Linked DNA regions of Caenorhabditis elegans. The protein of the gene in region 1 purifies or fractionates together with the protein of each later gene. This does not show direct contact. Each region holds a gene or a part of one and is shown in the gene's direction. Other genes may lie near its edges. The genes, in order: irg-7, elo-6, copa-1 and nspg-13.

Region 1 (7,726 bases):
ATCTCGTAAATGTATAAGCTACTGAATTATGACTTTATAATTCAAAATTTTTATTTGCAGACTTATAATAAAATTCAAAGAAAAACACCTTACTTTGTCATTGAAACTCAATGAAAAAATGGTTTAAACTTCTTCAATTAAAATTTCAAATAATTTTACATTTTCCAACTTATTAAGTTGAAAGTAAAATCCAAAAGTTTATCTTTTTCATATGTACTTTTCACGACAAACTTCCTTAATGAAGTTCAACACCAATAAAATTTAATTTGAAATCTTTCGTGTTCGACCGCGCCCATCATTCTTTCCAGGTGATTCGTTTTTTGTTAGACGAATCAACCTGACTCATACATATGTCTTGCAATAAAAAAATTTCTATGACGTTATTAAACATCAAACATAAATAAATGAATATATATTTTAATTGAACTTGTAAGGGATTTAAGTTTTCGTGTTAATTTTTTTTTGAATTCTTGTGTTAATAAACTATTTTTTATACTTCCGATTTTATTTTAAACAAAAGCCACCACGAGGTGGCCGTCGTCACCTGCCTCTTAACACATGTGTTCTCTTCTCGTCTCCTCTCTTTCCCGGCTAGTCACATTAGTTTCGTATGTACAAACGACGCTCCGCAACGCTAAACAGAGGGCGATTGTTTTGAATAAACACAATTTGCGCGCGGTTATCCTCCGTGTTTTACTAACCAATGCTCATTGTTCTTTCTGTTTCTGCTAGCCTCTTATTTATTTCGGTGTCATGTAAGTGATTTCTTGTCTCTTCTTCAATTCCTTCAGTTTTTTCTATATTATTCTTCAAACGTCAAAACTTTTTTTTCAGCCACCGCAAAATGAACGATCAGCAGACCAACAACGAGTCAGACCACACGATGAGTAAAAGTGCCAAGAAAAGAGCCAAGAAGCAACAGCAGCAGAAAAGAGCATCCGAGAGTAACGATGAAAAGAATAGCCCAACAAAAAGCGATGCAGAAAATACCGAAGCAGTGAGCACACCCGAAAAAGTTTCCGATTCAGTTGAGCCAGAGAAGCAGGATCAAGTTGATCAACTGGTGCCATTGATTAATAAATTTGACGTGAATGGAAAAGCACTGAAAACAATTGCCGGTCATGGGACAGTTCATTTGGGAGAAATTACGCCGCACAACATTTTGGTGAGAATTTATTAATTTGTTGAAGGAAATGTATGTTATGAAACGAACTAGAATTCATAATATTAAATGAAACCCATATTTTCTCGATCAATGTGAATATGATGTAGCCTTAATTTTTGCGTCTTAAAAAATTGAATATTACTCTTGCACGCAGTGAATGTGAGCCCACTCAATAAAATTCTGTTCCGATTTATATATATTCTGTGAATGGCTAAAAAAGCAAACCTAGGCCGACTTTGCTGTTCATTTTTGAAGCTTTCAACATTGCCCTGTATTCTGTACCTGTGAAAATTGTGTAAATTGGCATAGAATGAGCTGTTAAAATACGTTGTAGCCTACCGAGCATGTCAGACAAGTAGTTGAACTCAAAGTTTGCTGAAGCACACTCAAAGTTTGCTGAAGGTCTTCACTCACTCTTGAACCAAACAGATGATTTTAACCTCCACCTTTTAAATTTAATTTAGCCTTCCCATTTTCATCAGTAAAACGCGATTTCTGAAATCCTATTTGTTTTTCAAACCTCAACAAAAAATACACGAACTTCATAAAACTCGAAACTCGATTTTTCAATTTACTATAATTTCAGCAACTGAAAAAGCTCAATGAAGATGTCTTCCCAATTGCCTACAACGACAAGTTCTATGTGGAAGCTCGATATTGCGGAGAACTTGGACGTCTTGCCTACTACAACGATGTCGTCGTGGGCGCCGTGTGCTGTCGCATTGACGATATTTCAGACGAGAAGTCGTTGTATCTCATGACACTTGGAACCCTTGCCGCCTACCGACAGTGAGTTTTGAGTCAGATCAAATTTACCTTATCAATGACGTTTTTTTGGTACAGTTCTACCTGAAAATGACGGTTTTAATAGCGTTAATTATTATACCAAGGGCGTTTTACGAGGTAATAAAATGTGCTATTTCAGAATCGGTATTGGTACAATTCTCATCGACTACGCATTAAAATTGTGCAATAAGATGGAAGAAATTAAGACCATGTACTTACATGTGCAGGTATCCAGAAAAAAGTGGATCTGAAAAAAAGTAATTTTCCAGGTCAACAACAAAAATGCGGTGCAATTCTATGAGAAGCATGGCTTCACCAATGACGGAATTATCGAGGACTACTATCGTATTAGCCCAAGAGACGCTTACTTGCTCATCAAACGAATCCGCCACTAAACTAGAATAGCTCATTTTGATATACAATATCTGAACTGTTTCCCTTTTCAAAATTACTTTATTTTTATCATAGCGACTGGTGGCATCCAAGCCTGGTCTGCAAGTTGGATCTCTAGCCATTGACAATTGCCAGCATGGTTGTTTTGTCTTCTTTCCCATCTTCAAGCATAACCGTGCCTACCCGTATGAAAACCATGTCTGTTTGAGATTTCCCATTTTTTCTATGCTTTATTTCATGTATCATCATTTTCAATTCTATTGACTTTTTGTTTTTTGGTAACTCTGGTAATTCGATTGTGAATTCTAAATGTCGAGGTTCTTTTATTGTCCGAGCAAATTTTATGTTTTGAATTTTGACTCATAAAAATGTAAGGCGTTTTATTGTTAACAAGAACATGAAAAATCAGGAGAGCCCGGGGGAAAATTTTATTATGCCCTTATGCATAGCATTGAAAGATAAGAAGTTGCCACGATGTTACGAGCGTGCCCAACCCATTTTCTTATTTAACGACTTTGATTGCTATAAGGTTTTCTTGATAGTACTTTTAGTCGCATTACTCCAGTGCTTCTTTTTCATTTTAAGCTGTTGATAATACCCCTTCAAGTTTGCTTCCAAAAAAACTAATATTTTTTATTTAGAAATGAGGAACTGGGTTTTGATTGCGGCCCTGGCCGTGATCTGCCTGGCGACTGAGCAGGAGCTCAGTCACAAGGACAGAATACGCGCGGTTTTGAGATCATGGAGTCCGGCATCGCAGAAGCAGTTTTTCGAGCCAGTCAGAGAGCAAAAGTACAGGACTATGGAAGAAAGGGTTATTTTTGTAAGGTCTAGCAAACAGGTGCGATTCGAATTTTTAATTTCAGTTGGACACCCATCATATTTCCAAAAGATCCATTGCTGAACCACACGTTTTGGCTGGAATGGCTACTCGAGGATGCAACAAGCCAGGGTACACCGGTGAAACTTGCCAATATCGTGAGTTTTAAGATTTATATTTCTAAAATGTTCCATGACGCAGAAATTTTTCAGCCCTCTGTTCTGCTCGCAACCCGTACATTCCGAACAACGACGGATTTGATGACATTGCAATTGATGCTTACAATCTGGCTAATTGCTCTGAATCATACATCGTCGTCGTTGACGAGACGATGCGGAATATCAAAATTGAAGTCGAGACGGCGTCAGCATTGAACCCAACATTCTATCTTCAAGCTGAAAATGGAGATCTCATATTCCCAGACGAATCCATTCAACTTCCAACAATGTTCACTGCAAATTATTTGCATCTGCCTCCCGGACAATATATGCTTGGACCACGAGCCGACACCAGCGAGCAGTTTTGTACAATGATGATGTCATCCCGCAGTAGCATTCATGTTTCCGGTGGATTCACTTCAGGAGATCAAGCCGAGCGTAGTGACTATCCAAATCTCAAGTTTACATATTTCGATACTGAGTCGGTTGTTGCAATTCATGCTCAAGGTTTGGACTTTCCTGGTCAAATCCAAGCAATTGGATTTACCGGTGCCGAGAACCACATCTCAAGATACATTCCAATGACAACCCGTTTCAACTGTACTTATCCATACATCTTGGAGAGATACACTTGCAGAAAAACCAGCAATAACGATGCTGGACACAATCTCATTCAAGTTCGATTGAACCAAAGGTGCTAAACATTCAAATTTTTGTTTTCAGGTGGAGGGTGTGACTAACTCTGGCTACAAGTTCCGTCGTATTGTTCCTTACCAATGCGTCTGTGAGTTTCTTTGTAGTGTATATAAGAAGTTTATATAAGACTTTTAAGAAAAAGTACCTTTTCAGTACCACCAGTAACAACTACTACCCCCGCTGTCCCGACAACACCTGCAGCACCGATAACTTCTTGTCAAAACGGAGGGCAGTTGCTTACTGACTCTAATGGAGTTGCATATTGTTATTGCTTTGGACTTTACTCTGGAAGTACTTGCTCGCAAATGCTCTGTGCTAACGGAGGTACAATTCATCCTTGAAATTATATATTTTTTATAATAACTATTAAGGTTTCTTGCCGACTCCAACCAGTGACCGTTGTCAATGCCCAGAAGGATTCAGTGGCTTCCATTGCCAGAATAGTATGCACTAGTAAAAATTATCTGTTAAAACATAATAACTTTGCAGTCTTGTGTACCGACATGTCAGGCTTTGACTTCAACGCTGAAAACCCAACTCTCACCCTTGTCATCCGATCAAGAAGCCAGCTCTCTGCAGTTATTGAACAAGCAACTGAGTCTGTTCAAAGTATTGTTGATCTTCTCGCTAGTGAACCTGGATATCTATCAAAGTTCATTGTTGTTCTTTTTGATAACGGAAGTGAGTTTTGATCTAAAACATATTTGACATGAAAGTGTATTATTTCAGAGCTCTTGGTGAACAGACAATATGATTCATGGGACGCTGCAATGGTCGATCTTACAAAAGCTATCCATTCCGCTCCAAGCGAAGGAGGATGTGATGATGTTGTCATGTCTGCTGTTGCGTAAGTTCACTGGTATGTAATAATGTTTAAAAATGCTAATTCATTACAGATCTGCACTTTCTCTCTATCCAACAAACAAATCCCCGATCTATGTGATTACGGACGCCACTCCAAATGATAGTGCTGAGAAGGAAACTGTGTTCCATCTGGAATCTTATTGGAGAGCACCGGTAAATAACATGAAAGCAAATAATGTTGACTCTATTTAAATTTCAGATCTACTTCATTTACGTTCAACCATCTCCAGCCGATGGATGTAACTCATCTCCAGATAACTCTGCATATAGAGATATGGTGGACATGGCTGCTCGTTCAAGTGGTAACACTTTCTATTTCAGCGACAGAAGCACTATTTCGACCGTAAGTCACTTCACTTTATATCTCCCATATCAATTAACTTTTATAGTTCTTCTACCGACACATGCTTAACACCTTGTTCCGATCCCAACTTGTTCTTTCCGGAGATTACTCACACTGCTCCAGCCAGAATCTGTACAAGTCAGCTGCCTTTGATCTTAGCGTTGACTACGTTACAATTGTAGCCACTGGAACAAATTTGACTCTAGTTGTGACAAGCCCAACAGGACAGTATCCAACTTTCAACACCGCCTTTTCTGATGGTGTGAACTATGTTTGGACGTATAACTCGCCAGTTGCTGGTCAATGGTTCTTCTCTATCAGATCACTTGAACCAGAAGCAGCTTGCACGTTTAAGGTTTATCAGAAGAAGTTCAACTTTGGCGGACAAACTCAATACAGCCCCGACTATGATATTTTCTGGTCATTCGCTTCTACTCTTACTTCGGCAGCAGGAGTTCTACGTCAGCCAGTTCTTGGATTTGATTCATCTCCAGTTTTCCATGTTACCAACTACCCTCAGTTCCTCTCAATGGACCGTGTGCATGCCAATCTTCAGATTTATGCTATTCGTGACGGAGTTCAAACCGAGGTTTACGGATCAAGTGGAATGTACAGAGATGCCTGTGAATTCAACTTCTACTTCCCACCATTCACTTGCCGTGTTCCAGAAGAAGTTCTTTACTTCAATTTCTTTGCTCGTGATAATAATGACATGGCTCTTCAACGTGCCGGAACTATGTTCTGTGCTGCCGTTCATCCTACCCCGCCACCAGATCATCAATGCCAAAATGGAGGAGTAATGAACCCATCGAACACCACTTGCTTCTGTACTCCGGAGTTCACAGGAACGTACTGTCAGAACATTATTTGTTACAATGGAGGAACAGCTAGCGGAGATCATTGCGTCTGCCCACCTGGTTACGCTGGTGAGAGCTGTGAGATGGCAAGATGTATTGAAACAGGACCAAATCCTGAATTCATCCGTTATGGAGTTGACATGGTGTTTGCCGTTGAAATCACTCAGAATTCTATTGCTTCACTTTCCATGCTCAATATCAACTTCCAAGAAATTCTCCGCGACGTTCTCATGCAAAATCGTGGATGGATTAGAAACTTTGTTCTGGTCGGTTTCAACTCTACATGGGGAGGACCAATTGCTGAATCACCAGCTGATAACCTCACTGCAATCACCACTGCTCTTCGCACTCTTGCTTCTTCAGTTCCAGCCGATACTGGATGTACTGTCAAACTTTGGGATGCTTTGAATTATGCCATTTTCTCCAGACAAATGGCACCGGGATCTTTTGTAGAAATCTTCCAAACCACTCCAGAAGATGATACTGATACTCGTTCGCTTGGTCTTTTCTATGATATGTCTAGAACAATGGAACTGGTTCTTTACGGTTTCTTGACTTCAAATCCACGTTTACAACCGGAAGGATTTGTTTGCAACGCCACCGTCGAAAACTATTATACTCTTCTCGGAATTGTCAGTGGATCTACCGGAACTACTTATAGCCTGCAAGCAAATGAAATTTCTAATGCTGTCAGACTCATTCCACTTCAGTTCTCTAACGGACAAGTCACATTCAACGCATTGGATGATTGTAGACACGACGATGGACTTATTACATACTTCCCTGTTGACGCATACACTCAAACAATTCAAATCCAAACATTTGGTTATGGAACAACTATCCAAGTGTATACTGGTGCTGGTGTTATGGCAGAAGCTTTGGAACTTTTCTACGATGACTTTACCGGTCAAAGCGTGTACGAAATCAGAAAGGCTTGTGACGAAGGCTGGGAGCCAATTGGACAATACTGTATCAAGTTTATGGCAACTGTAGAAAACATTCTTCCGATGCCACAGGCTAAGGCTTTCTGTGCCTCAGCTGGTGGATTCCTCGTGGATGATCTCACTGACGACAAGAATGGCTTCTTGAAATCAGTAGCTGCAAACACTCAATTCTGGACCGGACTCTTCAAAAACAATGATGGACAATTCTATTGGGATCGTGGAACAGGAATCAACCCGGATCTTCTCAATCAACCAATCACATACTGGGCCGATGGTGAACCAAGTGACGATCCAACACGTCAATGTGTATACTTCAATGGAAGATCGGGCGATGCTAACAAAGTCTGGACAACTGATACTTGTGCAGAGCCAAGAGCATTTGCTTGCCAAAAACATAGATACGATGCCGATCATAGACCAAACGTTATTGGAGACGATGATCTTCCTGCTGGATGGTGGTATGCTAAAGTAAAGTCCAATCCTCCTTCCGGATACCCTAACATGTGCACCATGAGCGTTCGCGTTCAGTCTAGCCTCCAGATTGTGACTGGTTTCTCGACAAAAATTGGAAACGATTTCCCACTTCCTGATCCAATTCAGGATTCTACAGAAAATCGTCTTATCAGTTACGTTCACTCAGTTGATAACGAGAACCGTGTCCCAATTCTCACTGATGCTATTCTGTGGGATGCATATAATG
Region 2 (7,144 bases), on another chromosome or scaffold:
TTCTCTTGGCTTAGAACTCCAATTCTGTCTCGTTTGATGACGTCCTCGATAGTTTGGCATCTGAAAACAATGATAAACGTTTTTTGAGCTTGAAAGGAGAAAATTTAGGCAAACTCGTCCAAAAATGAGAATTCAGACCGTTTTAAAAATAGCAAACAAGTTACAGTAATCAAAGGAGCAGTCAGTAAACTAAATTTAGGCCTCACCACGAGTTAGCGAATTTCACTTGCATTTGCGTATTTTTAAAGAATAGTACTTTTTAAAATTACCTCTAGTAATCAAATTTGTTGACAGTTTTGAAATGAATGAAAAATTTACTTTAAAATAAAAGGAAAAGCTGCATTTAGTCAAAAATTATTTGAATAGTTTTGAGCTTTTGTAATTGCGTGGCGAGACCAATGGACTTACCCAATCCGATGTACCTTTAATTTAGCATTTTATTTGCATTTTTGAAATCCTAAAATTCTTTCCTAGGCTTTCGAAATTGACGATTTTCTGTGTTTTTTAAAATTCAAATATCGTTTCCTAGTTTCGAAAATAATTTTTCGTTTTTTAGTGTATCATTTTAAGCTTGTCATTGGGTTTTTTCTTTCTTTGCATAGTATTCCTCGAGGAATTATATTATATTTCACATTTACAAACTCTTGCCTAAAAATGAGACTGTTTTTTTGCAGATGGCGCCCTTGGAAACCATCTACGACGAATCGCTCAACAAATCGGCGGATTCCATTGATGATAAGGTTTTTTTCATGGTTTTATGGCCATTGTAATTTTTTTCATCTTTAGAAATGGTCCAAACTTTTCCCAAGGATTGTCAGCGACCCGGATCGATCATCCAATTTCATGACCAGAGCAATCTACGTCGCGTTTTCGGCTGTTCTTAGGAACCGTAACATTCTTGGACAAGAATATTTCACGAAGAATTACATCACTGGTAAATGTTTTTCTTATCACATTTTATAGTAAATGTTCTTTTTCAGAAAAGCTGAAATGCATGACGCTGTGCTTCAGAAACCCACGGTCTAACCAAATCGCTCAACTACTTCGAAATGCTGGGGATGCAACAAAGGATGGGTTTCTGAAAGAAGTCTCCCTCGTGATCACAAATAATGAAGGAGATCTTGAAGCCATCGAAGTTTTCTCTATGAAGTTCATTTATTTTGAGAATGGCGGCGTGGTTGCTCGTCTGAGCACTGACAAGAATGGCCAGGAAGATCCTCACTTCGCAAAGCTTGCTCAACTTGTATACGAGGGTGGCGACAGCGTACGAGATCAAATGGTGACGATTGTTCGCAGTGTTCAGTTCCTCTGCACAAAAGTTCTCGAACCGTTGCCAGAAGAATTCACGGCTAATTTTCGATTGGAGTACACAAACGATGCTCCATCCAATTTCCGCATTGATGGCTTCGAAGATTCTTCCACTTTTTACACACTTCCTGATGATATCCAATCGGCAACCATTGGTCACTTGCGCCCAGGATGCCACGCTGCAAACATGGAATGCTGGAGCATGTTGATGTCCGATTCATACGAAGCAGAGTTGACTCTCAAGCGACACCTGGACAAAGTTTCCGATAGGCATGGATTCAATCCAGTGAATGTGCTGTATAAATCGTTTAATTCGGAGGACAGTGACACAAGTCTTAGTCAGGCCACTACTGAATCTGTCAACGATCAAGGAGGAAACGAGACTTCTCCGGTGGATGATATAACTGTTAGTTTATTAGTTTTTTACATATAAACAAAAAATTTAAAATTGTAGGAGTCTCTCGAGAAAGCACAAATGTCGCCTATCCAGACGAGACCAACTACTCGCAGAGGAGCCGATGGCAGCAAAACCAGATCGTCTCCATATTCTCGTTCCTGTAAATAATTTTTTTCCTAGCTTTCAATAGATTATAGCTTCATTCTGTAACTTGGCATGTTCTATATCATCGTGTAAAATGTTTTATTGTCTTGAGTGTTTCCTTTCTGCTCCATTATTGTATCCTTAGTTTTTTTTATTCAAATTACAGTCATTCATAAATAAATCGACTGGTGTTATTAAATAGCATGTTTCCCATGACTCCATTTTCAAGATACTCCAGTGCATTTCAGAATTTTTCAACAATTGACCAATCTAAAAAGGATTCTCTCTTTTCTTCTTCTGCTGGATACCGCTCCGAGTATCTTTCGGTAAATCTCGAAATTCTCTTTGTATTCACCATTCATGCTGACCTCGATAACTTTTCTCAAGGTTCTTTGCTAAAATTTATGTGGTTTGCAAGGGAACGTGGCGATTGTTGATTGTTGGTTTCAAGTTTTGAAAAAAAACACAGTTTATTCTACTTTTCAATGTCAGACGTCACAAAATTTATCAGAAAAAGCTTTTTTATTGCAGTGTCTGAAACAATTTTATGTAGTATTCAGGTTGATTGTAGTCGTTTTAAAGGCGCGTGCTACTTTAAATTGGTCTCGCCACGAAAACCATATATTTGTATGTTCTGTTAAAAAATCACATTCTAGCGAACAAATATCTCAATTTTCATTTAAGAAAGAGCAGTCGCGCCTGTCGCCAACAAAATGGATCGTGGCGAGACCTATCGAGAGAAAAATGTTCTTTTGAAGTGGAGTCTTCAGATTTGGCGAATTAATTCACGAATTCACGACTGGATATTACCCAGACACAAAATGTTGTAATTTTTTCGCCAAGAATACCAGGTCATGGGATTAAAAGGATTAAAGATTAAAGAATACAATTTTTGATTAAAAAGATTAAAAATACAATTTTTTATTTCAGAAAATACTGGAAATTCAAACTCTTCTTAATAAAAAACTTAATTTTTATCGATTTTTCATAGTATTTTGGGAAAAATTAATTGTACTTGTATTCATTAAAAAATCTCTCAATGATAATAATAAGAACACATTAATTTTAGCAAATCACATCGATTTTTAAAAAAATCTGCAGCAACGTAGGTTTGGGATTACAGTACTCTTTAAAGGCGCACAGCCTTTTGCATTAAACTCAAATTTTTCGTGTCAAGACCTGGTATAGTATTTTTGGCGCACAAATCACAAAATTCCGTTACTGGGTATTATACACAAATCATGAAAAAATATATTAAAAACCATTTATATACGAAATTTAATTACTGTTTCAGGCACTTTTCAATTACTTTTTAATAAAAAACATCTTATCAATAGAGTTACAATTCTTTGACCGTACATTGAGTGTGTTCTGAATCGTTTCACTTCAAAAAACCTATAAACAAATGTCTTCCACTCTCTCCCTCTCTCTCTTTCCCCCGTCTACCGCCTCTTTCATCGCCCCATAATTTCCGAATTTTCTTCGAAAAATCACTTGCCTCCGCCTTTTTACCTTTTTTTCCAACAAAAAAAATCAGACCACCATTTGGTATCTCACTACAAGAGAGAGAGAGAGGGAGAGACGCAGAAAACGAGATGGTTAAGTATAAAAAGGAGTTGGTGATGACCGTGTTTTGTGACTTTCGGGCTCTTGGAGCCAAAATGTTTGCTTTGTTGTATTCTTATGTTAGTCTAGAGACTTGTACCTTGTACCCATCTACAGTAATCTTAAGCCCCACCTGTTAGATCTGGTTCTTATTTAGCAGTTTACTTTGAGCCACACTCTTCATATGGCAGTTCCTTTTTTTAAGTTTAAAATTGCAGGTAAAAATGCCACAGGGAGAAGTCTCATTCTTTGAGGTGCTGACAACTGCTCCATTCAGTCATGAGCTCTCAAAAAAGCATATTGCACAGACTCAGTATGCTGCTTTCTGGATCTCAATGGCATATGTTGTCGTTATTTTTGGGCTCAAGGCTGTCATGACAAACCGAAAACCATTTGATGTAAGTTTGTAGATTCTCTGAAACAGTAAATTTTCGGTAAAATTTAAATTTTATTATTGAACAGTTTAGTGTTGCAAATAATTAAGAACCCATTTTTTGATTAATTGAAAATACATTGCTGGTAGATTAGAACTCATTTTGTATCACACAATTAAATATTTCCTGAAACAGTAATTATTTTCTTACTTTTAATGCCACCAGATACAAAATACTATTTATTTGATGTTACTTTCTAAATAGATTGTCTGAAACAGTACATCTTTGGTGATTTCTTAACTATTCGGAGGTAATTAGAACTGGAAAGTGGGGCCAGAAATGCGATGTGAGTCTATAGATTCTTTGAAACGGTAAACATTTTATGAAAATTCAATTTTTTTTAATCAAAAGTTTAGCTTTTATCCATTTTAAAACAAAAACTTTTATAAATACTGCTTTGATAACTTTTAAAAGAAAATTGTGATCGTTTCTCAATTAACAGTGGAAATATACTACAAAATAAAAATTGCGGTTGAAACGGGAATTATATTTTCCACCAATCCACCCACTTAAAACCCCACTAATTTATTTCCAGCTCACGGGACCACTGAATCTCTGGAATGCGGGTCTTGCTATTTTCTCAACTCTCGGATCACTTGCCACTACATTTGGACTTCTCCACGAGTTCTTCAGCCGTGGATTTTTCGAATCTTACATTCACATCGGAGACTTTTATAATGGACTTTCTGGAATGTTCACATGGCTTTTCGTTCTCTCAAAAGTTGCTGAATTCGGAGATACACTTTTTATTATTCTTCGTAAAAAGCCATTGATGTTCCTTCATTGGTATCATCATGTGCTTACAATGAATTATGCTTTTATGTCATTTGAAGCTAATTTGGGATTTAATACTTGGATTACATGGATGAATTTCTCAGTTCACTCAATTATGTATGGATATTATATGCTTCGTTCTTTTGGTGTCAAGGTTCCAGCATGGATTGCCAAGAATATTACAACAATGCAAATTCTTCAATTCGTTATTACTCATTTCATTCTTTTCCACGTTGGATATTTGGCAGTTACTGGACAATCTGTTGACTCAACTCCAGGATATTATTGGTGGGTTTTTGTCCAATATGTAGTGTCTTTTTTTAGTACATAGTGTAACACGAAACTATACAATGCAAGTTAATATTCCGCCTAGATTTGATTTTTTTTGGTGATTTGCTTTAGTTTTTCAAACATGTATTTTTTTAACTGTGATAGTTAGCAAAATATTACCATTTCACTAAATGTTGTCGTTGTCGGCTGCTGTAATTTATTTCAGAACATGAGTTTATACAGCTTTGACACTAAAATAATTAATCGACAACATTTTGTAAATTGAAAACATTTTGCTAAATATCACAGTTTATGAGTTTTTTTTGTTGTTACCAAGCAACTCAAGGAAATTTGATAGTGGACACTACATATGTATTAGAACAACTAAAATTTGTAGAAAATTTACAATACTTTTGAAACAGCATAAAATTAGTAAAATGCAATATTTCCAGGTTCTGCCTTCTCATGGAAATCTCTTATGTCGTTCTGTTCGGAAACTTCTACTATCAATCATACATCAAGGGAGGTGGCAAGAAGTTTAATGCAGAGAAGAAGACTGAAAAGAAAATTGAATAAAATATTAGAATAGAGATAATTTATCTTTTTTTTCCGGGTAGTTTACACTTTCTATTAAATGTTCTGATTTGTATAATAAAGGTTTAGTAGAATACAATTATTTTAATTGTTATCTTAAAAACAAAGTATGGTAACTACCTTATGTCAGGCAGGTAGATTTTTTCGTTCCTATGCCTATGTTGAAACCTATAACTTTTTCAATATGAAAAAAAGTTTTTTATTAAAAAATTTATGTTTTTCCGATTGGTGATTTTTCGTCGTTGAAGAGATCGATCAAGCAGTTGTGACTTAAGACAATTTTGTCGTAAATATGCCACATCGCGCTGAAGTACAGTATGGTACCAACAACGAAGACGGAAAAATAACGATAAGAGGCGTTTGGAATCACGGGAACGTCTGCTGGCTAGCATGCTTGGTACATTTCATCAGCAGAATCCCCAATGTCCGTACAATTCTAAGTACAATTGTTAGCAGTATAACACAAGATAGCAATTTGTCAACTTTGGATGCTCTAAAGATCAGCCTACTGAACGAATTGGTGGATGCACTCTCTAAACTGGCTTTGAAACAGTAAATTTTTAGCAATAAATAAATTAAATACAATTTGATAGAAAAAATCCAACTGTAAGCTCGTGCTGGTTAATTATACTGAAATAGTGAGCTCTACAAAAATGAAGTTTGTTAGACTTCTAGAAACAGTGAAAAAAGTTTCGGTCAAAGTATATTCACTGAACAAGAAATGACCTTCGTCCCGATTTTCTCCTTCAAAAATTATGACACCATTCAGCTTATAGCTATAATCCTCTTCTTCGACAGAGAAGCTGTTTTCCGTCGCTTCCGGAGATGAATCAAATGTTGCTATCTTCTTGATATCTTCACGCATCTGTTCTTCTAGAGAATCAGCTTGTTGTTTTGCAGCTTGTGAGAAGATCGTCGATAGTTGGCTGAAAATAATACATTTTTAAAGTTCTTAATGATTATAACCAACATTCTAAGTCCATTGAACATTTGAAGAACATGGGTCATTTCGAGTCGTCGTTTTTCATGTTGCTTTGAAAAATTAGTCTGCATTATTCCAAGATTGTTGAAATTGAATCCTTTCGAAAATGGATAATGCGCATGTAACTGGTGAGCTCTTTGCAATTCAACAAATATCATTGATGGTAGATAGATGAAGCGTCCGAATCCTGCTAATGCCGTTGATAAGGTTTCAAAACCAACTGACACTTGGATGATCAGTGGTGTTCTATCTCCTCCTAACACTCGGCCAGGTATCAATGAGTTTCCACCCACAACTGGGAATAGAACTTGTCCAAATTCCTTTAAAGCTTCCATGCTGCTTTTCGAATTTTTGCTTGCAACAAGCATTATATCCACTATCCACTCGAATGAAACTGGCATCATATCTGCCGCGTCTTGTTGTATATTCCAAATGGGGATATTCCTTGTAGCTATCGACAGATTATGAACGGCCTATAAGTTCATATATTTAATTGAAAACAACATTTTCATACACAATTACTCACCTCAGCTAGTTTTTAGAGCATCCAAAGTTGACAAATTGACATCTTGTGTTATACTGCTAACAATTGTACTTACAATTGTACGGACATTGGGGATTCTGCTGATGAAATGT
Region 3 (10,432 bases), on another chromosome or scaffold:
TCCGGCAAATTCGGAAAATTGCCGGAATTGAAAATTTCCGGCAAATTCGGAAAATTGCCGGAATTGAAAATTTCCGGCAAATTCGGAAAATTGCCGGAATTGAAAATTTTCGGCAAATTCGGAAAATTGCCGAAATTGAAAATTTCCGGCAAATCGGCAAATTGTCAAAATTCAAAATTTCTGGCAAATTTTGGAAAATTGCCGGAATTGAAAATTTCCGGCAAACCGACAACTTATCGAAATAAAAAATTTCCGGCAAACCGGCAATTTGCTGAACGGCTATCTGAATTTCAGGCAATTTCCAAATTTTTAAATCTTAAACATATAGTCTCAATTAAAAACTTTATTCATTGTTCAATATTAGTTTTTATTTGGAGCATCTGGCTGATTATCTGGATGAGCCAATTTGAATCTAAAATCTTCCGCCAGAATCTCATTAATTCGAGTAATAGTTGGATATTTGGACATGTCGACTTTGTAGCTGGAAATTTCAAAATTTTTAATTTAAAAATTCAAAATTTTGAAATAACCTACATTTTCGCATTATAAATTATCGATGGCAAGTTGATATCAGCAATTGTAAGCTGATCTCCAACACAATATTTCCCAGAATGCTTCTTCAAAAGTTCTTCGAGAGCTAAGAATCCCTTGTTCACAAAGTGATTGCACCACTGAAATACATTTTGAACTATCGGGAAACGCCTCTTGGAACCTATTGCGGTTTGATCTACAAAAAATGCGGAAATTTTTTTCACCGATAAAATGTGACGTCAGCAGCACGTTCTAGAAGTCTGCGTCTCTTCTCCCGCATTTTTTGTAGATCTAGGTAGATCAACCCGACATGGGACACTCTGACACCACGTGAGAACCCACAAAGTCACCGTATCCCGGCTCCTTTTCATTGAGCATTTTGTGGATATTGATTGCTTGAAGTGGCTGAATACTTGCGACTATCTGAAAAGAGCTCGCTTAGAGTTGTTAAAGAATGTTAAAAGCTCACATGAAGTGCGATAGCTCTTGAATACGATCTCTTATCCAATTCTTTTGGAAGGAACGGAGGATCCGGATAGGCTTCATCCAAATATTCGATTATTGCCAAGCTTTCTGTCAGTGATAAGCCATTTATCACTAAAGTTGGAACTTTTTTCGCTGGGTTGTGCTTGACGAACTCTGCATTGTTCTGAAATACAGCTATATTTCTATGGAAGTGGGAGTAGGGCAGGGGTGGATGGCAAATTGCCGGTTTGCCGGAAATTTTCAATTCCGGCAATTTACCGATTTACCGTTTGCCGAATTTTACCGATTAAAATTGAAATTCTGAAATTTCCAGAAAAAAATGTGCAAAACCACAAGTTGCCGAAAGTTTTCGGCAAATTGTGTTTTTCCGGCAAATCAGCGATTTGCCGTTCTGCCGAATTTTGCCAGAAATTTTCAATTCCGGCAATTTTCCAATTTACCGGAAATTTTCAATTCTAGCAATTTGCTGGAAATTTCAATTCAGGCAATATGCCGAATTTGCCGAAAATTTTCAATTCCGGCAATTTTCCAATTTGCCCGAAAATTTTGATTTTCATTAAATTTTCGATTTGCCGGAAATTGTAATTTTGGGCAAATTGCCGATTTACCGTTGCCAAAAGTTTTCGACAAATTGTGGTTTTTTCCGGCAAATCGGCAATTTGCCGCTAGGCCGAATTTTGCCGGAAATTTAAATTTCGGCACTTTGCCGATTTGCCGAAAATTTTCAATCCCGGCAATTTGCCGCTCTGGCGAATTTTGCCGGAAATTTTCAATTCCGGCAATTTTCCAATTTGCCGGAAATTTTCTAACCTTGGATTCTTCAGAAAATAAGTCGATTGGCCGGTATTCGTAGTCGATATTTTTCAGAGCAAGTGCTATAAATCAGTATTTTATAGAATTTCCAAGCTAAAATTACCGATGCGAACTCTCCAGGCACACGACGAACGCCAATATGAATATAAAATCGGTTTTGCCATGGAGTTAGAAGCTTCTAAAGAAGAAAATTGAAATATTTAAGCAATAAATGACATTTTGAGAAGAAATTAAATATGAACACGTGGGAAAAATCTTCAAAAACCCTAATTTTTCAGTTAAAAACTACTTTCTCCGAATAAAACCTCCATTTTCCTCAATTTTCAGCACTTTTTTATGTCAATTCCCACTTAAAATTCCCCTTTAACGGTCATTTTTCCTAAACTGTGCAGTTTCGCGTCGCCGTGTTTGCACACATTCCGTTTGATGCGCAGGTTTCCACGTTGTCCTCTTTTCTCCATTTTCTGTCTCTTTTAACGTGGATTTACCGATTTTTATCTCTGAAATTCTTAATTTTTATGGTATTTTTCGTAGTTTCTTTATCAATTTAATCGAAATTCCAAGTTTTTTCATTGATTTTTTGCATTTTTGTCTGTTTTTTTTAAACATTCTTATATATCCACGTGTCATTTCCATAATTTCAGAACCTTCATTCACGCCGAGGAGCAGTTTTTGACTGGTTACCGACTATAAATCGGATATCATGTCGCTCCTTATCAAATTTGAATCAAAATCCGCTAGGGTTAAAGGTAAATATTTTGGTTTTTGGCATTATTTTTCAATAATTTCCCAATTTTCCAGGAATTTCGTTCCACCCAACTCGGCCATGGGTGCTCACATCGCTGCACAGTGGAGTCATTCAACTCTGGGACTACCGAATGTGCGTTCTTCTCGAGAAGTTCGACGAGCACGATGGTCCAGTGAGAGGAATTTGCTTCCATCATGATCAGCCGATCTTTGTGTCTGGAGGAGATGATTATAAGATTAAAGTGTGGAATTACAAGCAGAAACGCTGTATTTTCACACTTCTCGGACATTTGGATTATATTCGTACCACTTTCTTCCATCATAAGTATCCATGGATCATTTCTGCGTCCGACGATCAAACGGTTCGGATTTGGAATTGGCAGAGCCGAAACTCGATCGCCATCCTCACCGGACACAATCACTACGTCATGTGTGCTCAATTCCACCCAACCGAAGATCTTGTGGCTTCTGCCTCCTTGGATCAGACCGTCCGTGTTTGGGATATTTCTGGACTTCGGAAGAAGCAAATGCCTGGTGGAGGTGCTCCAAGCCGGCCAACCGGAGGGCAACAAGCTGAGCTATTCGGGCAACCTGATGCAGTTGTGAAGCATGTGCTAGAGGGACACGATCGTGGAGTCAACTGGGTTGCATTCCATCATACCAATCCAATTCTAGTCTCGGGATCCGATGATCGTCAAGTCAAGATTTGGCGTTACAATGAGACGAAAGCCTGGGAGCTCGACTCGTGCCGTGGACACTACAATAACGTCTCATCTGTGATCTTCCATCCAAATGCTGACTTGATTCTTTCCAACTCGGAGGATAAGTCGATTCGTGTGTGGGATATGCAGAAGCGTACCAGTCTTCACGTTTTCCGACATGAAAATGAGCGTTTCTGGGTTTTGGCCGCCCATCCAAGCTTGAACATGTTCGCCGCAGGACATGACAATGGAATGGTCGTTTTTAAAATTCAAAGAGAACGCCCGGCTTATTGTGTCAGTGATAATTTGGTTTTCTATGTGAAGGGACAACAAATTCGCAAGCTCGATTTGACAACCAAGTGAGTAGTTTGATGCCAAGAAAAGTGTGCCGCAAAATGCATTTTTGCACAGAATTAGCGTTTTTTTTTTGCGAAAAAAAGCGTGCGAGAGTTGCGAAAATGCATTTTCCGGCGCACTGAATCATGTTTTTGTGGAGTCTCAGTAGTTTTTAAATGAAAAACTTTAAATGTGCCCCATTAAGCGAATTTCGTATTTAGAGCCTCCAAAAAATCGGAAAAAAGGCGTAATTTCAATAGCTAAATTCTCCAACTTCCACTGAAAATAGCAGAGTTTTTTTTGAGATTTATCAAATTTTTAGCTTTTCAAAAAATGTTTTCTGCTTTTTACGAACAAATCTTTTGTTAAACAATGAAAATCGAATTTAAAATGACTAAAATTAACTTTTTCCGTCCACTGGTTGTGAAATGGGTTGAAATTGAAGAAATCAACGGGATTTTTCTGATTTTCTGAATATTTTTCTATTAGAAATCGGTTTTAAACCATTTTTTTTTACTAAAACCGATTTTTAATAGGAGAATATTTAGAAAATGAGAAAAATCCCGTTGATTTCTTCAATTTCAACCCATTTCACAACCAGTGGACGAAAAAAGTTAATTTTAGTCATTTTAAATTCGATTTTCACTGTTTAACAGAAGGTTTGTTCGTAAAATGCAGGAAAAAAATTTTTAAAGCTAAAAATTTGATAAATCTAAAAAATCTGTTATTTTCAGTACGAAGTTGGAGATCTTAGCTAAATTTAGAGCTTTTCTCCGGAAATTTTGAGGACTCTCACTACAAAATTCGTTATTTTTTGTACATTCAGAGGGGATGTACAAGCAAAAACCCCTCTAAAATCAAATTTTCAGCAAGGATGTTGCTCTGTGCAAGCTCCGTTACCCACAACCATTCATGCAACCATACTACTCTCTTTCCTTCAATCCTGCCGAGGGAACCTTCCTTCTCACAAGCCGTACTCACAATAAGGATCTATGCGCCTTTGAGCTGTACAAAGTTGCCAGTAACTCTGATGGAACCACTGAAGCTGCGTGCGTCAAGAGCACCGGAATCAATGCACTTTGGGTTGCTCGTAATCGTTTTGCAGTTCTTGACAAGGCTCAGAATGTGTCGTTGCGTGATTTGACGAACAAGGAACTTCGCAAACTCGAGAATATCAACACGGCTGTCGACGATATTTTCTATGCCGGAACTGGAATGCTCCTTTTGAGAAATGATGATGGGCTTCAACTGTTTGATGTTCAGCAAAAGATTGTGACTGCTTCAGTGAAAGTGTCGAAAGTTCGTTATGTGATTTGGAGCAAGTCTATGGAATTCGCAGCTCTTCTTTCAAAGCACACGCTGACCTTGGTCAACCGTAAATTGGAGATTCTGTGTACCCAACAGGAGTCGACTCGTGTGAAGAGTGGAGCTTGGGATGATGACTCGGTATTCCTCTACACCACTAGCAATCACATCAAATATGCAATCAATTCTGGAGATTGTGGAATCGTTCGTACTCTGGATCTTCCTCTGTACATTCTGGCTATTCGAGGAAACGTGCTCTACTGCTTGAATCGTGACGCTACACCAGTTGAAGTTCCAATTGATAATTCTGATTACAAGTTTAAGCTTGCTTTGATTAACAAACGAATCGATGAAGTTGTCAACATGGTTCGATCCGCAAATCTCGTCGGTCAATCCATCATTGGATATCTCGAGAAAAAGGGTTACCCAGAGATTGCTCTTCACTTTGTCAAGGATGAGAAGACTCGCTTCGGGTTGGCAATTGAATGTGGAAACCTGGAAATCGCGTTGGAAGCCGCCAAGAAGCTCGACGAGCCAGCAGTCTGGGAGGCTCTCGGAGAGACTGCTCTTCTTCAAGGCAATCATCAAATTGTTGAGATGAGCTATCAACGAACGAAAAACTTTGAGAAGCTCTCGTTTTTGTATTTTGTTACTGGAAATACGGATAAGCTTGTCAAGATGATGAAGATTGCACAGGCTAGAAATGATGCTCACGGACATTTCCAGACAGCTCTCTACACTGGTGATGTTGAGGAGAGAGTTAAAGGTAAAAATGTGCAGCTGGATTTCAGAAGGGGGCAAAAGTCAAAGTTTTATTGATTTTTAGCTCCTCTTTGCGTATTTTTTTCGTGAATTTCTGCAAATTCTAGACGATTTTGAAATTATTGAACCTAAAAATGGTCCAAATCTACCGAATATCGTCATGAGATTTCTCAAAAAAAAATTTGGAAATCTACCAATTTTCAGCTAAAATCTCATATTTTGCCAACTTTTCAGTTTCGCAGCTGACGGAACTTGATTTTTATTCAATTATCGCTATTTAATACGTATTTTGGTCGTTTTAACGAATAAAAGTGTGATAGACGACCAAAATATGTATTAAAAAGTAATAATCAATGACACACTAAAGTTGGCAAAATTTGAGATTTTAGCTGAAAATAGGTTTTTTTCCAAATCTCAAAACCGCCATAACTTTTTTTGTGAGTTTTCAGAAACTTTTCAGGATTTTTCATGACGAAATTCGTTACTTTTTGGGTCATTTTCAACAAAATAAAGTATAAAGTTAATTTTTCAGTGCTCCGAAACTGTGGACAAACTTCTCTGGCCTACCTCGCCGCAGCCACTCATGGATATTCTGCTGAAGCTGAGGAGTTGAAGGCTGAACTCGAGAGTCGTCAGCAACCAATCCCACCAGTTGATCCAAATGCTCGCCTCCTTGTCCCACCACCACCAGTTGCTCGTTTAGAAGAGAATTGGCCACTTCTTGCCTCGGCTCGAGGAACTTTCGATGCACAGCTTCTTGGATTAGGAGGACAATCTGCTCCAACTAATGTTGGCGGTGTGAAGCCTGCTGCTGCTGCCTTTGCTGTTATGGATGATGATGTTAGTTTATTGATTTCTGAGCTATCTGAGCTATAAAATATTAATTTTTGCAGGATGGTGATGTTGGAAATGAAGCATGGGGAGATGATGAGTATCTTGTCGGAGAAGATGGTGAACTTGATGTTGATGAAGGAGAAGGACCAGTTGATGGAGATGAGGAAGGTGGATGGGATGTGGATGATGATCTGGCTCTTCCTGATGTTACCGATGATCAAGGTGGAGATGATGATGAGGAAGTGGTTCCTAACCCAGCTCCAGCTGTCTCATCGGAATGGCCGAATGTTTCTCGTCTTGCTGCTGATCATGTTGCAGCTGGTTCATTCGGAACTGCCATCAAGCTTCTTCATGATACAATTGGAGTCGTTGAAGCAGCACCATTCAAGGATGTATTCGTGAAGGCTTATGCAGCTTCTAGACTCTCACATCGTGGATGGGGAGGACTCGGACCAGCTGGACCAGTGTCCATTCATCCGGTTCGTAATTTCCAGGAGGATAAGAATCATCTTCCAGTCGCTGCGTTCAAACTTTCTCAACTTGCAAAGAAACTGCAAAAGGCTTATCAAATGACGACGAATGGAAAGTTTGGAGATGCTGTCGAGAAACTGCGGGAGATTCTTCTATCTGTTCCACTGATCGTTGTGTCTTCGAAACAAGAAGTCGCCGAAGCGGAGCAGCTCATCACAATCACACGGGAATATCTTGCAGCACTTCTCCTTGAAACTTATCGAAAAGATTTGCCAAAAACGAATTTGGAGGATGCGAAACGCAACGCCGAACTAGCTGCCTACTTTACACACTTTGAGCTTCAACCAATGCATCGTATCCTGACACTGAGATCTGCTATCAATACTTTCTTCAAAATGAAGCAAATGAAGACTTGTGCATCACTTTGCAAACGTCTATTGGAGCTCGGTACGTGCTTGCGTTGTTGATTTTTTTAAATTTTATTTCTAATTCTTAATTTTTTTTTCCAGCTCCAAAACCAGAAGTTGCTGCTCAAATCCGAAAAGTGCTGACTGCCGCCGAGAAGGATAACACTGACGCGCATCAGTTGACCTATGATGAGCATAATCCATTCGTCGTGTGCTCTCGTCAATTTGTGCCTCTTTACCGTGGACGTCCACTCTGTAAATGCCCGTATTGTGGAGCATCGTACTCTGAAGGGCTCGAGGGAGAAGTGTGCAACGTGTGCCAGGTTGCAGAAGTTGGAAAGAATGTTCTTGGGCTCCGAATCTCAACTCTGAAGAGCTAAAAGTTGTGAAATATGATAATTTTTTCGTTTTTTGTGTGATATTAATTATTGTAATTTATTTGCCTTGTTCTTCCACAATTCCCATTGCTTTTGGTCCCTTCATATTATTTTCCCGTTGGGCGGCGGTTCATGTTTTCTATTTAAATTATGTGTTTTTAAAAATTATTTAAACCCCACAGAAAGATTATGATTGCATGCTGGTCTATTTTATTTGAATAAATCATGATTTTTTTACTTTTTTTCATTTATCTTTGGGGTAAGAAAATGTTCTCTAAATCAGTAATTTACATGGAGAAATTTGCTCGAAAAAATTCAAAAAAAATACAGTAAGAAAATTGTCGTAAAGTCTAGGGTTTTGGTATTGCGGACTACGACAAAATGCACACAAACCATTTTGGCACCGGAAAAAGGCAAAAGCCAGGATTTTATCGCGTTTTGGCTCATTTTTCTTGCAAATTTCCATGGAATTCAGTTAACATATACCTAATTATTCAGTTATTTCGAATTAATCAATAATTTTCAGTGAATTTCGCAATTTCTAAGTGGTCCAATGATGTCTGTCCACATATTTCCTTGAAAACTGATTGTTTTATCGGAATTTATTGATTTAAAATAATATATATAATAAAATCTGAATTTTAGAATCATTTTTGACGTGGAAAAGACCCGAAAAATCCAAAAATCACGAATAAACTGAACAATTAAGGTATTAATTTTTGATCCCCCACCCCCAGTTTCTCAGTTTCTCAGCAAAGGATTAAAACAATTGTTCTTCTTCTTTTCCCCCTACAAGAATTTCCTGTGAATTTCAATCGTAAAAATATCGATTTTCTGTTTATTCTTTGGATGAGTCACCGCACTCGCCGATTGTTTAACTAGTGCAGTTCGGCAGTTTTACGTTATTTTTTCACGATTTTTTGGATTCTGATCCTCTAGGTGACTTGAAAATACCGAATTTCATATCGTAATATGACAGAAAAATTTATGGCGGTAAAAAAATGCGGAAAAATTTTCTAATTTTAACGGAAAACTCCAAAAAGCCGTTGGAAAATGATTTTTATTTGATATTGGCATATTTAAATAATTTTTATCCTGTTTTTTAGTGGATTTGGATATTTTAACCCGATAGTTATGTATAACGGCTTAAAAATTGCCAAAATCAGCGAAAAAACGCGAGAAAAATCACTTAAATATGGAAAATAGAACAATAATCAAATAAACCCGATTATCCAAGCCAAAACTGAGTTTTTTTTTTCGCATTTTTGAACTTCAAAATTTCGAAAAAATGGGCTATTTTTAACGAAAATCCCCAATTTTGCAATTTTTTCGTGTCACAGCCGTCGGAAATTGATTTTTATTTGATTTTTGACACATTTGAGTGATTTTATCCTTTTTTTTTCGTGGATTTAGGTACTTTTAGCCGATAGTTACGTATTGCTAAAATACTGGCTTAATAAGTAGCTAAATCGACGAAAAAATATGTTTTAAAAAACCAAAAATGGCAAAATTTTACGATTTTTGCTAAATCTTTTTTTTTTTTGAAATTTTAAATCGTCATAAAATTATTTAGCTAAATTTTTGTTAAACATTTCAGCGAAAAACTCCATTTTTGCCAATTTTTTGTGTCACAGCGGTTGAAAATTGCGTTAATTTAGGTATATTTGAAGCCAAAAAAGGAACAAAATTAATTTATTTGCAAAATTATCAATTTCCGGCTTAAAAACGCTCCAAGATTGGAGATTTCAGCGGAAATTAGCCCATTTTTTCGAATTTCTAAACCGCTAGACTGAAATTCCGTCTTTTTCTCCCATTTAAAACAAAAAAAATCCCAAATTTTTTGCAGCAAGCATGTCGGCCCATCAACTACCGGCATGTGTGATCGACAATGGAACGGGTTATACGAAGCTCGGATATGCTGGGAACACGGAACCTCAGTTTATTATTCCATCTGGTTAGATTTATTGATTTTCAGCCTATTTTTCATAAAATCCAGTGAATTTTCCAGCAATTGCCGTGAAGGACAAGGTGGCGAGCTCGAATTCGCAGGCGATGCGCTGGAATAACCGAGTCGGAGCCGGGATAGACGATCTTGATTTCTTTATTGGAGATGAAGCTTTGTCGCCGGCCGCTACGAATTATACTGTCAAAGTTCGTAGTTAATAGACCATATTTATGCTCCTGATGTCAAATATCAATGTGAAATTTTTTTTTTTAATTCCCAGATTTTATATAATTTTTTAAAATCCAAAAATCCTAATTTTAAATTTAAACGACAAAATTTTGCATGATAACCGTGCCGCAGGTGTGGATTTACGAGATTAATATTTTTAATTCATTTTTATTTAATTTTCACACCGATTTTCCCGTTTTTTCGTTGTTATACATTGAAATTCTTGGGATTTTCATAAATTTATTCATAAATTTACTTTTTATTAATGAAAACAAATTAAATTACAAGAAATATCGAACTTTTGCTGAAAAAATCGAATATTTCACGTATTTTTGTTGTTTTCATTAATAAAAAGTCATAAATTAATGGAAATCATGATAATTTTAATGTAAAACAAGGAAAAATCGGGAAAATCGGTGTGAAAATTAAATAAAAATGAATGAAAAATATTAGTCTCGTAAATCCACACATGCGGCACGGTTATCATGC
Region 4 (7,012 bases), 2.0 Mb from region 1:
ACTACATAGTCGCATGAAAATTATTTTTGATGATTTATTTCCAAGCATTGCAAATTGGTATTGTAGATCCCCTCGACCTTTCTTGAAGGTCTAAACTAACACCGTTCGAAATAAATGTTGTCAATTACAACAGAATTTATTTTTTATGCGAACTTAAAATTGAATTTGATATTTTCCAGCGAAAGCATCGAAAGCTGAAAAAAGTCACAAAAGTCACCGAGGCTCCAGCAGAAGTCACAGTACCCACGGAAATTGTTACTGAGCCAACAACTGAATCCGCAACAACTCCCACTACTACCACAACAATTTCCACCACCCCATTAGTCACAACTACACCACCAACAGCTCAATCTGCAATTGTAATTAAAACATTGCCGACTACAGTTGCTCCAAGCAAAGTGGGCGAGTCTTATCTCGGTGGATGGAATGAAGACGAAGCTGTAGTGGTCACAACATCAAAACCGTCTCTTGGATATGCAATCAGCCAATTCACACAGCTGCCTGAATCAATTGCTATCGACGACGACAAGTCAATTAAAGCGTACTATGAAAAATATTACGCTGAGTGGTATCAGTAAGTGTTTTTATAAAAAGATTTCAAAATGTTTAAGCAAACTATTTCCTTATTGCATTACAGAAAACACAATCAAGCTGCCGGCACCCCAGAGGCATCAGCCGCAACAGTTCCTCGAGAAATAAAAATAGAACTGGCTAAGCCAAACACAGCTTCTTTTGGATCAGCGACATTGCAACCCACTGTGAGTCATTTGCCTCGTCTTACCCAAATCATCTCTCTTTTTTTCTGTTTGAACACGACATCACTGTCAAACATGGGTTATCATCAATGCTATCGTTTTAGAAGCTATTAAAATCGAAGCCACATATTTTTATAGGGAATTTCTTCACCGTCCGCTGCAGCCGTAGAGCCGACAAAAGAACAACTGGACAAAGTTTGCGAATACGTGGGCAAAATATCCAAATCATTTGGAATCAAAGACCTTGTCGGATTCGCCAAGAACAATTGCCCTCTGGTGCAGAGCTTCCATCCAGCGGTATATCTCTCGAATTTATAGTCTTTTTGCATTCAAGTATTCTATTTTCAGTCCACCTGCGAGCAAATCCAGCATCTGATGAGTTACTGTGAAACAGGAATACTTGTAACCAACCAATGATCTCATACATCTTCCCAAACTGTGTATTTCTACTTTTGATGCCATGTTTTGATCTTTTTATTGCTAAATGTCACCAACTTCCCTGACAAATGTATTCTCTACCTTGTCCACAAATAATGAGATTCCATGACTTTTTTTCTAATAAATCTGGAACTGTAACAAGTAATTACCAGCCACGCCTTGTTTCCTGGCGTCATTTTAGGACTGAAAAGAGTTTTCGTCATTTTCAGAGCCGCTCCCTTTTTCATTTTCCATCAAAACTGAAAAAAAAGTGATAATGCAATTTGAAAAAGGGTATGACTATCATAATAAACGAAACGATAAACGTGCACATACACGCGTTAAGGAGAAAAAGAGGTGGGGAAGAGAAGGGGATGGTTGGCAAACCCATAAAGCGAGCCGGCCCTCGAAAGGTGGAGATTCAGACAGAAGTGCCAGCGGCAAAGTGATAACGGGAGACACGACTTTGCACTACGCCTGCTTCCCCGCGAAATGTGCTCTACCAATTATTGCCTGGCTGTTTTTGTACTAGTTGGTAAGATTCTTGACAGATTCTCTGTATCATGGAGCGCTTTTAATCGAAATTCTAGTAAAAACTAGGCACTATTTATTTGATTACCGATTTTTCAAAAATTCATAGTTCAAATGTCAATTGCTCACAACGATTTATCTAGGCACTCTCTTTTTCAAAATTTCGTTCAATTCCTGATTCTCGCATTCTCATTGCCTTTACCCCATCATTTACAAGTATTCAAAACTAAACAAGACCGTTCCACAGTTATTAGATTGGCAGAATTAAGTCTTGCACTAACCGGATTGCTTTTGCTTACTTATCATCAGTTTTGATAACGAAAAATTCCACGTGTTGCCCGGTAACGCCTAAATACTATTATGACTAAGTAACTTTTGCAAGATCGGGAACGTTCCCAAAATGAAATCTGCACAAGTATTAGACTACTGTAATTTCCTAAATCTAATGTGATTGTTGGTATTAGTTGCGTCACAACTAGCGGCGGGCATTTTCTTATCAAAAAGAAAATGTACGGTGGCACTGGATACGACTTTTAGAAACCAAACATTCCAGGCTCGATTATTTTTCAACCTATTAGAAGTTCTGGGAAAAAACTGAGAGACATGACCTTAAAAAATAAACCAATGAAAAGTTTCAGGCGTTGTGGCGGCACAAAACCCAAGTTTAACGGCATGCGATATCAATAACCAGCTAAATGTTTGTCAGAGTCAGTTCAATCAACTTTTGGGATTTGATGGTAATGAAACTGAAAAATAGAATTAAGCACAAAAGTTTTGGTGTTTCAGCTTCTCTCGGTGCTGCCAAATATCAAGACTTGAGAAGTGCCATTGAGCAGTCGTATGCCAATAACCAAGCATACGGGCTTCTTACAACTTGCGATGCCTTCAAGCAGTACAAGCAGTGCTAGTAAGTGACATAGTTTGCAATGTTGTGAGATTCACAATGTGCGACGGGAATATCTCAGTCGGTAGTGTGGTGATCGCAAGCAATCATGAGACCACTAGTTCAAGTCCTGCCTTTCCCTAGGATCACCCAACCTAGCTTGGGAATTAGAGGAATCCACTAATGGCTCGTGGCTTGAAACTAAAGCCTAGTGGGAGTTTAAAAACGGAACACCCTTTGATCCTTTAATTTTTACATCTCAAATCAACTGATTTATAGCCAACCAAAAGAACAGTTCTACGCATGTGCTCAGAACCCATACGGTCTTCTAACTGGAACCAAGTAAGTTCTCAATTCAATATATACTGTAACAGTTTTTGTCTGTTCTTCAGCAACAACGGCGCCCCACTCACACAGGATCAGGCTAATGGATACGTAAAAATCTGGAACCAACTTGATTTTGTCTGTGGTGCTGGATTCTCGAGTAAGATTAGCAATTATACTGTAATACTGAATACTAGAATTGAATTTTCAGTCTTTGCCAACTCTGAAGTTTGCGGCTCTTCTGTCTTTAACAACCAGACAGCTGCAATGAGACAGTGCGACAATGACTTCAACGTGAAGTCCATGGCTGACCCAGCTCAAGCTTGCGCGTAAGTTTTCAAGTTTTGTTTCCAATCAAAAAGAATAATGAATAATCTTAACTTTCTAGATACGTTGAGATCGCAGCCAACTGCTACTTCCAACTGTTCTGGAACGCTTGTAAGAAGCCAGAGATGGCCTACTGGGGTTGCAACTACGAGCGTACCGGTACCAATCTTCTCTTCCCACAGTGCTCTCAGATTTTCTGCACATGTAGGTTTTCAGAATGGGATGGGGTTTAAATAATGTTTATTTTATTTTCAGTCCACGAACGCGTCTGATCGTCTTTTGTTTAATCATCTCCATTTTTTGTTTTGGTCAAAATGTTTTATTTGAATTCACATTTTTGGGAATAAATCTATGTAATTTAATTCATAATTTTTTAATTTCAAAAATTTGTTTTCGTTTGAAATGCTTCAATGCATTGAATACTTCTGACTTTGTGTGTGTGTGTGTTTTTTTTTGCAAAATTAAAAATACATATTTGTGCTCACATTATGCTTTCAGATGTGGCAAGACCGGTGTTTGCCATTTCTTGCGTTGATTCTTGGATTGTCAGGTAAGTAAATTGAAATTAAAACTTGTGAAATATTTGTTTTAATCTTATTTTTTTATTCCAGGAGTCCAATCAGCCGGTCTAAACTGTGACTCGACGGTTTATTTTGAGTGCCAAACTGCTCTCAATGCGGTTTTGAGCATCAGCGACCCACAGCCATGGTTTGACCCCGAAAACTTCCGCAAGGAGGCAAGTTTTTAATACAATAGTTTCCACGCTTGCCATTCCATGAAATGATAACTGAATAAGGTGATATGACGAAGGGTGTGCATAGTGAAATGTGAAATGTGAGGTTTAGAACGTGTCGATGATAACTTTTAAGTCAATGGGATTAATTATGTCATCATGATTGTATTATAATCTGATTTTTTGATTATCAGAAAAAAGAGCAAAACACAATTATTGATTAAATTTAGGTGGAGACAAACTACCAGGCTCAAGGACCCAGTGGAATGCGTAAAGTTTGCAAGTCAGTACTTCACTAGATACTCTCTCTCGAATCCTGAATATAATTCCAGAGCTTTCCGCGAGTTTAAAGTTTGCATGGGCTCTGAATACGCGAACTGCATGTCTGCGGTCCATTTTGTTTCTGTATCGGCCACTCCATTCAACGCTTATCAATTTGTTGGACTGTTCAACCAAATGCACTTTGTCTGTGGAGCTGGATTGCAAAGTATGAATTTTTATTGTCATTTCCCGACGCGATGTCGGAATTGAATTTTGTTGAGTACACAATTACACATCTTTTTGGCATGGTATGAAGTTTCTAGAATAGGTGGAAAACACGGGGAGTGTCGAAATCAAACTTTCTGGGGCTTGCTGCTGTGGTAATTTATACACATTATGAGACTCTTAGAGGAATTTCTGAGTTATGATTAGAATAGGCATGAATACTAGCACATATTAGGTTTAAAAAAAACATTCAAGAGACGCAGGAAAATATGATATACATGGGAAATAGGTCCATCGCTGACCACAACCGAAGTCGGCTGCGCATTTACTATAAATTCCTAATTTGCTCAGAGATCAGAAATCGATTAACACAAAAATAGCGCCTTATACAGACTAATGGATTCCAACCGTAACGAGGTAACTTTCTTCATTTCAGCATACCTCCTTAATGAGGGCTGTATGTCAACTACTTGGAGAAGCCAAAGTGATGTCCTGAGACAATGCCGACTAGATTATGAGGTGAACAGTGACGTTGACGCAAATCAGGCTTGCACGTAAGAAGACCATCGGGTATTATTAAAAAACGCCAACCAAACTTACAGACAAGCCAATAAGTACTTGATTTGCTTCGAAACTCAGTTCAAAAACAACTGTGGTGAAAAATCAAACGATGCCATGTTCTGGGCTTGTGAATACTCAAGAGTCAATGTTTTTACTCGATTCCCTCAATGTGCAGCTAGATGTGTTTGTAAGTGAAACTTGAAAATTGTGAAATCTAGTAAAATTGATTTTGTTTTTTTGCAGTGCCATATAGCGGAGGAATCATCGGATGAGTCGAATAAAACGAAATGATGTCAGATACAAACAAATTATTAACTTTTTGTCATTCAATCTTAACTATGTATTATCATTTGTGATAAGAATAAATTTTTATTACTGAGAAAATGCCATCGGTATAGTATATGACAATCTATTGGTGTGGCGATGGGGAACTTCATGAAAAGTTTTGAAAAAAGGGTTTTGAAATAAATATTGCCAATAGCTTTTTTGGGACGTTTTCAACATTTGGTATATTAAACATTTTGGTAGGACAACAGATTATAAGCAAATTATTATTGAAAAAAAACTATTTTTTGACTGTGTATCTTTTATAAATTGTTTTACTTATTATGCAATATTTGAAATAAAAAATTAGTTTTTTTTTCATTCGTTTTAAAATTTCACCGTCAAATTCAAATACAAGGTTCCGAAAATACTTTTTCCGCTTAGCCCATTTAATGCAATAATCAATGTCTTTTAAGCGTACAGGATTATTGATAATCACTTCAACTGATAAGGACTGCAATTCTTAATCCCATAAATGAAACATTTCCCTAGCTTTTCCGTTCCACGACATGCTGTTGAATGTATTGATTGCGGTGTTGGCAAGTAAGTTCAAAATGTACCCCCAGATTGATTGACCTTTTAAGCATGTTCAGTAGCACCAACAGCTTTTTGTGCATGCGCTCCTTCAACTACAGGTACATGCACTCCAGATTTACTTCAGTGTTGCGGGCTACAGCTCAAATCTGATCTAGGCTTGTCAAACTGTTATGGTAAAGCTTTTATAACAATTTAATTGAATGAGCTATCAATTTTTGAGGAATTCTTGCTTTCGAGCCTGAATGTCACCGTCAAGAAATTGAAAACATGTACATCAACGGTATAAGTGGTTTGTTCAAAGTTTGCGAGTTCGTTTTTTCATACTTACATTGTCTTTTGCCCATCGAAAAAAATTGATTTCAGCGCTTTTAACAAGTACTATGAATGTCTTGGACCAGCACGACGTGACTGCACCAGCATTAGTTATCACGTGAAAGCAGGTCTTCGACTTGGGTAAGTTGGCACAATTCATTATTTCTGTTAATCTTACCAAGTTTTCAGAGATGCCGTGCAAGTGGTGTCAATGTACAAACAATTCGGATTTGCGTGCGGAGCTGGATTTGAAGGTAGGTTTTCAATAATTTTTGAGCAACAAAAAATTTTAAATGTTTAAGGATTCTCCAACAACGATGTTTGTATGTCGAACATTTTTTCCACAAAACAAACTCAGATCAGCGATTGCCGTGCCACATTTGCCAAGAATTTGTTGGCAGATTATAAGAACCACTGCATGTAATGAAATATGATCAAAAATTTACAACATAATTAATTTTTAAAAAATCTGCAGGTACTTCGAGCAATATACCGGATGTTTCAATGCATTGTTCGATCACAGTTCCTGTAACTCTGAGAGCTCTTGGTGGGGATGTGAATATGCACGACAAGCTGGTCGAGCTGTTCTGCACGATTGCAGTCTTCAATGCTCAAGTAAGTCCAAAACAGATTAATGAGCAATTTTTATTTTTTCAGCATTCTGAACGCCGGGAAGAAATGCAAATGTTTTATCAATTTTGTGGTATTTCGATTTTGAAATAAAATATTTCGTATGTTTCAACAAAAAAGCTAAATCTAAAAGAGATACCATCAAGTTGAAATAATTTCCCATCCAAAAAAAATTAATAAAACTTTTATTAC

What was found.
Region 2: the proteins of irg-7 (region 1) and elo-6 fractionate together in Caenorhabditis elegans (co-fractionation; one large-scale study listed by BioGRID). This does not show direct contact.
Region 3: the proteins of irg-7 (region 1) and copa-1 fractionate together in Caenorhabditis elegans (co-fractionation; one large-scale study listed by BioGRID). This does not show direct contact.
Region 4: the proteins of irg-7 (region 1) and nspg-13 fractionate together in Caenorhabditis elegans (co-fractionation; one large-scale study listed by BioGRID). This does not show direct contact.

What each region holds. Positions count from the first base shown.
Region 1 is NC_003284.9:3,238,886-3,246,611, reverse strand, and holds the start of irg-7 (Protein irg-7), read left to right. Parts: upstream 1-2,975; 5' UTR 2,976-2,987; coding exon 2,988-3,167; intron 3,168-3,210; coding exon 3,211-3,322; intron 3,323-3,376; coding exon 3,377-3,999; intron 4,000-4,045; coding exon 4,046-4,106; intron 4,107-4,171; coding exon 4,172-4,342; intron 4,343-4,389; coding exon 4,390-4,461; intron 4,462-4,507; coding exon 4,508-4,699; intron 4,700-4,747; coding exon 4,748-4,865; intron 4,866-4,914; coding exon 4,915-5,035; intron 5,036-5,081; coding exon 5,082-5,225; intron 5,226-5,271; coding exon 5,272-7,726. Other genes in the region: F40F4.7 (N-terminal methionine N(alpha)-acetyltransferase NatE), read left to right, coding at 845-1,165, 1,752-1,954, 2,091-2,178, 2,221-2,346.
Region 2 is NC_003282.8:5,385,088-5,392,231, reverse strand, and holds elo-6 (Long chain fatty acid elongase 6), read left to right. Parts: upstream 1-3,672; 5' UTR 3,673-3,678; coding exon 3,679-3,852; intron 3,853-3,957; exon of another isoform or gene 3,958-3,978; intron 3,979-4,039; exon of another isoform or gene 4,040-4,060; intron 4,061-4,134; exon of another isoform or gene 4,135-4,155; intron 4,156-4,302; exon of another isoform or gene 4,303-4,323; intron 4,324-4,423; coding exon 4,424-4,950; intron 4,951-5,286; exon of another isoform or gene 5,287-5,307; intron 5,308-5,384; coding exon 5,385-5,508; 3' UTR 5,509-5,603; downstream 5,604-7,144. Other genes in the region: ZK616.5 (uncharacterized protein), read right to left, coding at 1-60; htp-1 (HORMA domain-containing protein), read left to right, coding at 675-740, 787-934, 981-1,714, 1,763-1,873; F41H10.12 (CACTA en-spm transposon protein), read right to left, coding at 6,152-6,452, 6,497-6,912. UniProt on the Caenorhabditis elegans protein: Catalyzes the first and rate-limiting reaction of the four reactions that constitute the long-chain fatty acids elongation cycle. Uses malonyl-CoA to add 2 carbons per cycle to the chain of long-chain fatty acids.
Region 3 is NC_003279.8:2,892,903-2,903,334, reverse strand, and holds copa-1 (Coatomer subunit alpha), read left to right. Parts: upstream 1-2,474; 5' UTR 2,475-2,533; coding exon 2,534-2,579; intron 2,580-2,631; coding exon 2,632-3,637; intron 3,638-4,483; coding exon 4,484-5,685; intron 5,686-6,213; coding exon 6,214-6,521; intron 6,522-6,574; coding exon 6,575-7,433; intron 7,434-7,495; coding exon 7,496-7,773; 3' UTR 7,774-8,006; downstream 8,007-10,432. Other genes in the region: gst-43 (maleylacetoacetate isomerase), read right to left, coding at 361-481, 535-671, 874-954, 1,001-1,180, 1,828-1,892, 1,934-1,994; arx-1 (Actin-related protein 3), read left to right, coding at 9,622-9,724, 9,779-9,921.
Region 4 is NC_003284.9:5,251,459-5,258,470, forward strand, and holds nspg-13 (DUF19 domain-containing protein), read left to right. Parts: upstream 1-3,735; coding exon 3,736-3,787; intron 3,788-3,848; coding exon 3,849-3,973; intron 3,974-4,200; coding exon 4,201-4,253; intron 4,254-4,302; coding exon 4,303-4,457; intron 4,458-4,892; coding exon 4,893-5,010; intron 5,011-5,058; coding exon 5,059-5,204; intron 5,205-5,260; coding exon 5,261-5,289; 3' UTR 5,290-5,397; downstream 5,398-7,012. Other genes in the region: Y34B4A.10 (aECM cysteine-cradle domain-containing protein), read left to right, coding at 180-574, 638-758, 894-1,052, 1,104-1,172; nspg-14 (DUF19 domain-containing protein), read left to right, coding at 1,665-1,707, 2,342-2,440, 2,490-2,610, 2,866-2,928, 2,979-3,070, 3,122-3,239, 3,299-3,441, 3,493-3,509; nspg-12 (DUF19 domain-containing protein), read left to right, coding at 5,851-5,884, 5,935-6,051, 6,099-6,186, 6,242-6,331, 6,380-6,444, 6,493-6,610, 6,666-6,805, 6,848-6,855.